Saccharomyces cerevisiae S288C: one gene and its partners. Changing the gene in region 1 together with any one later gene gives a genetic interaction. Each region holds a gene or a part of one and is shown in the gene's direction. Other genes may lie near its edges.

Evidence for each region.
Region 2: mutations in LDB19 (region 1) and SSH4 impair growth when combined (synthetic growth defect), as found in Saccharomyces cerevisiae (2 studies listed by BioGRID, with this or other methods).
Region 3: mutations in LDB19 (region 1) and ROG3 impair growth when combined (synthetic growth defect), as found in Saccharomyces cerevisiae (one study listed by BioGRID).

Annotation. Positions count from the first base shown.
Region 1 is NC_001147.6:919,293-923,049, reverse strand, and holds the start of LDB19 (Ldb19p), read left to right. Parts: upstream 1-1,987; coding exon 1,988-3,757. Other genes in the region: PRO2 (glutamate-5-semialdehyde dehydrogenase), read left to right, coding at 145-1,515. UniProt on the Saccharomyces cerevisiae protein: May be involved in protein-linked oligosaccharide phosphorylation since the deletion reduces the negative charge of the cell surface.
Region 2 is NC_001143.9:208,846-212,602, forward strand, and holds SSH4 (Ssh4p), read left to right. Parts: upstream 1-1,747; coding exon 1,748-3,487; downstream 3,488-3,757. Other genes in the region: RRN3 (rDNA-binding RNA polymerase I transcriptional factor), read left to right, coding at 1-1,285; signal recognition particle subunit SRP21, read right to left, coding at 3,650-3,757. UniProt on the Saccharomyces cerevisiae protein: Components of the endosome-vacuole trafficking pathway that regulates nutrient transport. May be involved in processes which determine whether plasma membrane proteins are degraded or routed to the plasma membrane.
Region 3 is NC_001138.5:194,833-198,589, forward strand, and holds the start of ROG3 (Rog3p), read left to right. Parts: upstream 1-2,000; coding exon 2,001-3,757. Other genes in the region: phosphoinositide binding protein ATG18, read left to right, coding at 1-1,482. UniProt on the Saccharomyces cerevisiae protein: Involved in resistance to GST substrate o-dinitrobenzene (o-DNB).

The DNA of each region.
Region 1 (3,757 bases):
ATTTGTGGCGTTGGGTCAATGAGTCAAAAAATGAAAAAAGTCGACAGACGTTTTTCAAAAAGCTTCAAGAAAAGAAGAGAAAAAGTAAAAGCGTATTGGTAAAAAGAGTAAGAACAAAAAGGAGCACAGGCAACCAATATAAAGATGTCCAGTTCACAACAAATAGCCAAAAATGCCCGTAAAGCAGGGAATATTTTGAAAACCATCTCAAACGAGGGCAGATCAGATATTTTATACAAAATTCACGATGCCCTGAAGGCTAATGCGCATGCCATTGAAGAAGCGAATAAAATCGATTTAGCTGTTGCCAAAGAGACTGGCCTAGCGGATTCTTTATTGAAACGTCTCGACCTATTTAAAGGGGACAAATTTGAAGTTATGTTACAAGGTATTAAGGATGTAGCCGAACTAGAAGACCCTGTTGGCAAGGTTAAAATGGCCAGGGAATTAGATGATGGCTTGACGTTGTACCAAGTAACCGCTCCAGTCGGCGTTTTGTTAGTTATCTTTGAATCCCGTCCAGAAGTTATTGCCAATATTACCGCATTGAGTATCAAGTCTGGTAATGCTGCAATTTTGAAGGGTGGTAAAGAGTCTGTGAACACGTTCAGAGAAATGGCAAAGATCGTTAACGACACCATTGCACAATTCCAAAGTGAGACTGGTGTTCCTGTGGGCTCTGTGCAATTGATCGAAACCAGACAGGATGTTTCCGACTTGTTGGATCAAGATGAGTACATCGACTTAGTTGTTCCTCGTGGTTCCAATGCCTTAGTCAGAAAAATCAAGGACACTACAAAAATTCCCGTGTTGGGTCATGCGGATGGTATCTGCTCAATTTACTTGGATGAAGACGCAGATTTGATTAAGGCAAAAAGAATTAGTTTGGATGCAAAGACTAACTACCCAGCTGGTTGCAACGCTATGGAAACGTTGTTGATTAACCCAAAATTCTCTAAGTGGTGGGAAGTTCTGGAAAACTTAACTTTGGAAGGCGGAGTGACTATCCACGCTACAAAAGATTTGAAAACTGCGTATTTTGATAAACTGAATGAGTTAGGGAAATTGACAGAAGCAATTCAATGCAAAACCGTTGATGCTGATGAGGAGCAAGATTTTGATAAGGAATTTTTATCCTTGGATTTGGCTGCCAAGTTTGTTACATCTACAGAATCGGCCATTCAACATATAAATACACACTCTTCGAGACATACCGACGCTATTGTAACGGAAAATAAAGCAAACGCTGAAAAATTTATGAAGGGTGTCGACTCCTCTGGTGTTTACTGGAATGCATCAACTAGATTTGCCGATGGTTTCAGGTACGGTTTTGGTGCTGAAGTGGGTATTTCTACCTCTAAGATTCACGCCCGTGGTCCAGTTGGCTTGGACGGTCTGGTGAGTTATCAATACCAAATAAGAGGTGACGGCCAGGTTGCTAGTGACTACCTTGGTGCTGGTGGTAACAAAGCTTTTGTTCACAAGGATTTAGATATAAAGACTGTGACATTATAAAAATTTTTAGGATAAAGCTAAGTTCCATGTATGAAGGACGTGTATACATAGTTCAGTAAAGCCATCAAATAAGTACTCTTGTCAACTCATTCTATGGTGTGATAGTTAATTGCTTACTTGTATCGCTATTAACGACTTTTTTTTTCTTTTGGCGGAAGCTTCAAGACAAAAATGCGATTTGAGCTGACTCGAACACTTATTAAACCAGACGGAAAAGCACGACTCATACATATCATAGGCAGTTTTTACTAGGGCTCCGAATACTTTGAATAATAAGGTTGATTAAGTTTGTGTGCTTCATCCAATTAGCTTTCAGTTTTCCTTATTTAAGCTTCTGATTTCGGAATCAAAAGTTGAGCAACGTTATAGCTTGCTTTTTCGGAGGAGAACGCTGTTGTTCACATTTCAACACCAGAAATTGCTGATTTTTACTCCTACTTAGTATACATTTCACTAAACAATACGTTTTACCATGGCATTTTCACGTCTTACATCTACTCATCAGTCCAATCATAACGGCTACAGTAATAGCAACAAAAAAGGACAAAGTCTTCCACTAACCCTTTCTATTGATGTAGAATCACCGCCATGTGTTCTTTATGGGTCTGCTATGGAATCCTCAGGTGCTGTGCTAAGTGGACTTTTTACTGTGACGGTTGTCGATCCCTACAGTAGTGCTGAAGATAAATCTTTAAAGAATACAGAATCTAATGTGTCGACTACTTCTAAAAGCCTAAAAAGAAAGAGTACATTTGGTTCTGCACTTTCATCTAGATTGTCCAGCTTGTCAGCGTCGACGTCAAATATCTCTCCTTCAACATCTTCTACATCCATATCGCATTCTCCCACGCCTGCTAATTTAAGAATAATGGCTGGTTATACCAAGATCACCATTACGTCGGTAACACTAAGTTTGGTACAGAAGATCCATTTCCATAAACCCTTTGTGCCTAATATTTCCTCAATGCAAACCTGTATGAACTGTAAAACAAAGATTACAAACATGAAAAGCTGGGAAATTCAGAGTAATACCCAGGATCTTTCTGTTGGAAGCCACTCTTACCCATTTTCCTATCTTATACCGGGGTCTGTCCCATGTTCTTCATCGCTAGGTGCTACGGCTGAAACCCAGGTCAAATACGAACTTATCGCTGTTGTGACGTATATAGATCCTCATAGAAATTCCTTTTCTTCCGGTCATTCTACTCCCAGGAAAGAAGGAAGCTCTTCTAAGAAGCGGTTGTTGCAACTAGCGATGCCCATCGCCGTGACTCGAAGTATACCGCGCGGGCCTGATAAGAATTCTCTAAGAGTATTTCCTCCTACAGAGTTAACTGCTGCTGCTGTTCTTCCTAATGTTGTATATCCTAAATCTACTTTTCCTTTGGAGATGAAATTAGACGGTGTTTCTTCGGGGGATAGGAGATGGCGAATGCGTAAATTGAGTTGGAGAATTGAAGAAACTACAAGAGTTAAAGCACATGCTTGTCCAGTGCACAAGCATGAATTGAGGCAGTTAGAAGAGCAGGTTAAAATAAAAGAGTCAGAAAAAAGTAAAAAGCCACGCAGTCATATTAAGCGTTATGGTGAACTAGGCCCACAAATCCGGGTTGCAGTAAACTCTTTAGAAAATATGCCGTCGCAAAGGCTTCCAGGCGAGCCCGGTCGTGAACAAGCACCTAATTCTTCGGGTCCAGCGTCAACTGGTAATGTTGGACTTGATGATGAAAATCCTGTTAATGAAGATGAGGAAGACCAACCCGGTAGCGAATTCATCCATCCCAGTGACGACGCTTTGCGTCAGGAGTTACTAATGCAGCAACAACGCGCAAGACAACAACAACTTCAACAAGAGCTAAAAAACAACAGTAGTTTATTTACGGAAGAGGTTCGGATAATATCTAAGGGAGAAATGAAGAGTGGATGGAAAACCGATTTTGACAATAATGGAAAGATTGAGCTAGTTACAGAAATAGATTGTATGGGACTTAATTCAGGCGTCTCTAATCCGGTAATGCATGCATCGACACTACAAACTCCTTCCACGGGCAATAAGAAGCCCAGCATCAATGTGGCTTGCGATATACAGGATCCAAATTTAGGTTTGTATGTAAGCCACATCTTGGCAGTGGAAATAGTTGTTGCAGAAGAAACATTGCAATATGCCAATGGGCAACCTATACGGAAACCAAACTCCAAAAACAAGAAAGAAACTAATAACAATACGATGAATGTTCATAAT
Region 2 (3,757 bases), on another chromosome or scaffold:
TAAAAATGATACTCGGAGAAAGTTGGTTAATTACACTTCAAATTTGCTGAAATTGAGAGGCTACTGCTCTGAGCTAGGATTCCAAATTTGGTCCTTACTGATAGAAAAGATTATTTCGATTGATGTCGAGTTACAAAATGAATTAGATGAATTAGATGATGATGTAGATGACGATGATCTAGAGGAAGTTGATCTAGAGGATGACGACGATTTAGATGATGATTCAGGAGACGATGATGATGAAAATTGTGGGAACAGTAATGAAGAGTTAAGGTCTGGAGCAGCCGACGGTAGTCAAAGTGATAGTGAAGATATGGACATCATTGAAGGTATGGACGGTACTGAAGAATATAATGTGGAGTTGACGCAGGGAATCAAAGAACTTTCCACCAAATTGGACTCTATCTTAACTTTGGTAAGCACGCATGTGGAAGAGCAAGTGACGCCGGAGAGTTTAGAAAGCGGTGAAGGCGTAGGAGTCTTCAACACTCTAACAACATTATTTAAAACGCATGTTCTACCCACGTACTATACCAGGTCGATTCAATATATCATGTTCCATGTTTCACAACAACAATTAGAACTAATGGATTCATTTTTAGTGACACTGATAGATATTTCGTTTGCCGTCAACGAAGCAGCAGAGAAGAAAATTAAGTCATTACAATATTTGGGGTCGTACATTGCGAGGGCCAAGAAACTATCCAGAACTCAAATTATTTTCGTTGCAAGCTATTTAACGTCCTGGTTGAATAGATACGTTATCGAAAGAGAAGAAGAAGTTGATCAACGTGGAGGTATGGAAAGGTTTAAACATTTCTATGCAGCATTTCAAGCACTTTGTTACATTTTCTGTTTCAGACATAACATCTTCAGAGATACAGATGGTAACTGGGAGTGTGAACTGGACAAATTCTTTCAAAGAATGGTCATTTCAAAATTTAACCCATTAAAGTTTTGTAATGAAAATGTCATGTTGATGTTTGCTCGTATTGCCCAACAAGAAAGCGTCGCGTACTGTTTCAGCATAATTGAAAATAACAACAATGAAAGATTGAGGGGAATCATCGGCAAAGCTGATAGCGACAAGAAGGAAAATTCCGCACAAGCAAATACCACATCGTCTTCTTGGTCTTTAGCCACTCGACAACAATTTATTGACTTACAGAGTTACTTCCCATATGATCCTTTGTTTCTGAAAAACTATAAAATTTTAATGAAGGAATACTACATAGAGTGGAGTGAAGCAAGCGGGGAATATGAAAGTGATGGGTCGGATGACTAAGGTCTTTTTTCATAGGTATCTTCGAGACATGCCCGTCACAAACTAATGATACACTGTAGTCACCCCATTAATAGTTGAAATGAGGATATATAGCATAAATGCATTTAACACATTTTTTAGATTTCTAGATACTATAGAAACTTAGTATTTTTATTTTCCACAGTGTACTCTTCACGATATTTTGCATTTTAGAACGCTTGTTTGTTCTCGTCACTTACTACGTGCGCGCTTTACATTCGCAGGTCTACTTATTAAAGAGTTTCTGTGGGGAGGGGTTCCTGAGTCAAAATCTCAGCTATCCGAACAGCTTGTACTTAGATTACTTGGCACATATTTATATTCAGTAAAGTCAATAGTGGGTATTATTAATCGAAATAAACAGAACAAGCAGTAATAGCTCTTTTTTCATCTATTTTATTTGTAACTAGGAAGAAGAAAAAAACTTGAAGGTATACAAGAGCAATGTATGTCACTTTTAATGAGGCTTTGGATAGTTCTTTTGGTAATCTAGAGAGTCCGAATCATGACTTCAAAGTAGGTGACCCTAACATGGTACCAACTCCCCCTATGGATTCAGATTCTGCAGCAATTAGTTTGGCTTTCTTAATAAGTCTTTCTATTACGTTTGCAATATTAATGCTCATCTTGGTAGTAATAGCGGCATATGTCACCTTTTGTGGTGATGATGAATCAGAATACGACGAAGAGAACGCCTTAGGTACACGAACTTCAGGAACTCTGCACTCTTTGTTTGGTAAAAAACATAGTGGCATCTTGTTGGATTCGAGTTTTGCATCCCCTGGCGGGTTTGATGATGAGATCGTTCTTCAGGAAAGAGAACTTGAAGAATTACCAAAGATGTCAGCGTACGAGGTTGAGTTGTATATAAGAGCGAAAGAGTTTCAAATGATGAGCCCGCCAATGGTGAAGGACTTTGGCACGTATTTGGACAGTGACGACCAGCAGTTTATTAAGGATCGTGGCATTCAAAGCTATTTTTTGCTACCAAGCATTAATGATAATATAGACGAATATGGAAACTTTCTACCCAGTTTTATTGTCCAGGATAAACTAGATATTCAATTTTCAAAGTTCAATAAGAGCTCATCCACTGTAATGAACTATCCCCTACCTCACAATAGGAAGGACGCAGTGTATTTCGAAGTTAAAATTTTCAGACATATTCAAAAGTCCAATAGTATATTCAGTATAGGTTTGACTACTGTACCATATCCTTATTTCAGGGTACCGGGCATGGCCAAATACTCCATTGCATACGAATCCACAGGTAAACTGAGGATAAATAACCCCTTCACTGCCAGCACATTATTACCAAAATTGGAAGAAGGTGACACGGTAGGATTCGGTTACAGATATAAAACAGGTACAATCTTCATTACACATAATGGGAAAAAATTAATGGATGTAACACAAAATATTGGCATTGATCTTTTCATTGGAATTGGCGCGTTTAATGCCGCATATACAAGAACATATACGAGGGATGGTCTATTGGAAGACCCGGATAATGTTAGCTTCCGTGAAGCTCTCTCTGAAGGCAAAGATATTGAAGTCGCCAAAGATCTTCAAAGAGTTCACGATCCACATGATGAAAGTGATGAAATGACGTCAGATGAGGTTGAATTACATGTTAATTTGGGCCAAGTTGGGTTCGTCTTTATAGAAGCCAATGTGAAAAAATATGCGTTTGGGAGTGTTTATGGCCAAATTGGAATTCCTCCTGCGTATAATGGAACCGAGATCAAGAAGGATACTATTTTACAGAAAGGAGAAGAATTGCCACCAAGATATGCTGACACTGATAATTTCTTTGGTAGTATGAAGGTAAAAGAAGGGTCATCCTCTAGGATAACGGCGCAAACTAGTAAGCCCCTGTGGTCTGTTGGGACGTATGAAAGAATCTCTTCTAACTTTGACAGAGAAAATAATGTTTACCACGACAGTCTTGAAACCGACGATAACAACACCGATAACAATGTTAATAACAACGATGAGAACGCTGGTTGCAATGAAAATTCGCCATTATTGGAAGATGATGGCAATAAAAGACCGGAAAATTCAAATACCCCCCGTGAAGTATCAGATGGAGCTATCAATAAGAACCCTAGAAATAAATCTACTAAAAAACGTCAAAGAAACAGAGGCAAATCTTCTAAAAAGAAGAACAGATCGAGAAAATAAGAGACATTATGAATTTGGTTTTTTTTACAATTTACGCATACACAATATATACATTCCTACTAGCTTTTTTTTCTTCAATTCGATAGTTTAGATGGGTTTATATCTAAATATATATATATAGTATTTTATTTCATATTCAATCTCCTAGTATACATGAAATATTTAACGCTTTTTTTTGCCCTTGTTTTTATTTTTTTTCTTTTTTGAAGCTGCAGAGTTACCATTGTTATTTTGCACAGCATTAGCTTTTTGCTTCGGTTCTGTAGCAGT
Region 3 (3,757 bases), on another chromosome or scaffold:
ATCAACTTTATTAATTTCAATCAAACCGGAACGTGTATTTCCCTTGGAACGTCGAAAGGTTTCAAAATATTCAATTGTGAGCCCTTCGGAAAATTTTATTCAGAGGACAGTGGGGGCTATGCTATCGTCGAGATGTTGTTCTCCACCTCGTTACTAGCCCTCGTTGGGATAGGCGATCAACCTGCGCTTTCACCAAGGAGATTGCGTATAATCAACACAAAAAAACATTCTATTATCTGTGAGGTGACTTTCCCTACTTCTATTCTGAGTGTGAAAATGAATAAGTCTCGATTGGTGGTACTTTTACAAGAGCAGATTTATATTTATGATATCAACACCATGAGACTATTGCATACTATAGAAACAAACCCTAACCCACGTGGCCTTATGGCTATGTCTCCTTCGGTAGCCAACAGCTATTTAGTGTATCCATCACCACCAAAAGTTATTAACTCCGAAATTAAAGCTCATGCCACCACAAACAATATCACATTGTCAGTTGGTGGCAACACAGAGACCAGTTTCAAGAGAGATCAGCAAGATGCTGGCCATAGTGACATTAGCGACTTGGATCAGTATTCGAGCTTTACTAAGAGGGATGATGCGGATCCAACAAGCAGTAACGGCGGTAACAGCAGTATAATAAAGAATGGTGATGTGATCGTATTCAACTTGGAAACATTACAGCCAACCATGGTCATCGAAGCTCATAAGGGCGAGATTGCTGCAATGGCAATTAGTTTTGATGGGACACTAATGGCTACCGCCTCTGATAAAGGTACTATCATCAGGGTCTTTGACATTGAAACGGGTGATAAGATCTACCAATTCAGGAGAGGGACGTACGCGACAAGAATTTACTCCATATCATTCAGTGAAGATAGCCAGTACTTGGCGGTTACCGGCTCTTCCAAAACCGTGCATATCTTCAAATTGGGGCATTCAATGAGCAACAATAAACTAGACAGCGATGATAGCAACATGGAAGAAGCTGCAGCCGATGATTCATCGCTCGATACCACCAGTATCGATGCGCTGAGTGACGAGGAAAACCCGACAAGACTCGCAAGAGAACCATATGTGGATGCATCAAGAAAGACAATGGGTAGGATGATACGTTACTCTTCTCAAAAGCTATCCCGAAGAGCTGCCAGAACATTGGGTCAGATTTTCCCCATCAAAGTTACATCGTTGTTGGAATCCTCGCGCCATTTTGCGTCTTTGAAACTTCCCGTTGAAACCAATTCCCATGTAATGACCATATCAAGTATAGGCTCTCCAATAGATATAGACACATCCGAGTATCCGGAACTCTTCGAAACTGGCAATTCCGCAAGTACAGAGTCCTACCATGAGCCTGTTATGAAGATGGTCCCCATCAGGGTCGTTTCCTCGGATGGATACCTATACAACTTTGTTATGGACCCGGAGAGAGGCGGCGATTGCTTAATATTGTCACAGTATTCCATCTTGATGGATTGATCACGGAAGTGTCTCGCGCTGCCTTCCGTACGTCACAACGCATACACAATATAGTTTATATAAACTCCTGCGTATAATCTATCCTTTTGCATAATATTTTCGTCACCATTATCTTGTTGCGGTGTTTTTATTTAAAACAATAGAACTCGCCTAAAGGGGAAATTTTCGATATAAAAATTCAAAAAAATGGCTTTCATGGATCGAGTATTTGTTTGTCGAAAAAGGATCACTGGAGTGACGTTACTACGCTACGAAGCCTCCTTCCGGCTTAGCCCTGTTGATTACGAATTTGGATCAGTTGGTATTTGATTCCTCGGAAGAGTTAACTTCACGCGGGTAAATCACTTGTGATGCGGTATATTCTCTATACGGCTAATAGATGAATCAGGGTGTTTTAAAGTGCGTATAAACCCTTTTGCTATTTTCGTTTATATAATTGGCGTTGATAAAGAGCCAATATCTATTGTTGCTACATAGAGGCAGCTCTCTTAGCAAAATAAAAATACAAAAAGTTCGACATGGGCTTCAGTAGCGGTAAATCAACTAAGAAAAAGCCTCTGCTTTTCGATATCAGACTTAAAAATGTTGACAACGATGTAATACTCCTCAAAGGTCCTCCAAACGAGGCCCCCTCGGTGCTTTTATCTGGTTGCATCGTTTTATCGATTAACGAACCCATGCAGATCAAAAGCATATCATTGAGACTTTATGGGAAGATACAAATAGACGTACCATTAGAGAGGCCCCAGGACGCTAGTTCTTCGTCGTTGTCTTCATCGCCGCCAAAGATCAGAAAGTACAACAAAGTTTTTTATAATTACGCATGGGATAATGTTAACCTCAAGGAGTATCTGAGTGGTTTAAGAGGGCAATCTGGCCTTGCGGGCAGTAGCTCATCAAGTAATATCTTGGGCACTCGCCAAAGAGCTCAGTCCACAAGTTCCTTGAAGTCTTTAAAGGGGTCCTCCTCACCCTCTTCATGTACTTTAGATAAGGGCAACTACGATTTTCCCTTTAGTGCTATTTTGCCTGGTTCGTTACCAGAGAGCGTAGAATCTTTGCCAAATTGCTTCGTGACATATAGCATGGAATCCGTTATTGAACGCAGCAAAAATTATAGTGATTTGATCTGTAGGAAAAATATTAGAGTTCTGAGAACCATTTCACCCGCAGCAGTGGAGTTATCAGAAACTGTTTGTGTAGATAACTCATGGCCCGACAAAGTGGATTATTCTATTTCAGTACCCAACAAAGCCGTAGCTATTGGTTCAGCCACCCCTATAAATATTTCCATTGTACCTCTTTCGAAAGGTTTGAAATTGGGCTCAATCAAAGTCGTATTATTTGAGAATTATCAATATTGTGACCCCTTCCCTCCAGTAATTTCTGAAAATAGGCAAGTGACAGAACTAAATCTTGAAGATCCCTTGAACGAGTCATCTGGAGAATTTAATGGTAATGGTTGCTTTGTAAATAACCCCTTTTTTCAGCCTGATCATTCATTCCAAGACAAGTGGGAGATTGATACCATCCTGCAAATCCCGAACAGCTTATCAAACTGTGTGCAAGATTGTGATGTCCGCTCTAACATTAAGGTTCGCCATAAGCTCAAATTTTTCATCATCCTAATTAACCCAGATGGTCATAAATCTGAGTTAAGAGCGTCCTTACCGATTCAACTTTTTATTTCACCATTTGTGGCACTTTCAATAAAACCATTGTCATCCTCGAATTTGTATTCGCTTTTTAGCACCACTAACCAGAAAGACGAAAACTCATCACAAGAAGAGGAAGAGGAATATCTGTTTTCTAGATCAGCATCAGTCACAGGGTTGGAATTATTAGCGGATATGCGTAGCGGTGGCTCTGTTCCTACCATTTCAGACTTGATGACGCCCCCAAATTATGAAATGCACGTATATGATCGTCTTTATAGCGGTTCTTTCACTCGCACGGCTGTGGAAACGTCTGGAACATGTACTCCTTTGGGAAGCGAATGTTCGACTGTCGAGGATCAGCAACAGGATTTAGAAGATTTACGTATACGGTTGACAAAAATTAGAAATCAACGTGACAATCTAGGGCTACCACCGTCTGCCTCGTCTGCTGCCGCTTCCAGATCGCTATCTCCATTACTAAACGTTCCAGCACCAGAGGATGGCACGGAGAGAATCTTACCTCAGAGTGCTCTTGGTCCCAATAGTGGCTCTGTGCCAGGAGTACATAGTAACGTATCACCTGTTTTACTTTCAAGATCCCCAGCCCCAAGCGTGTC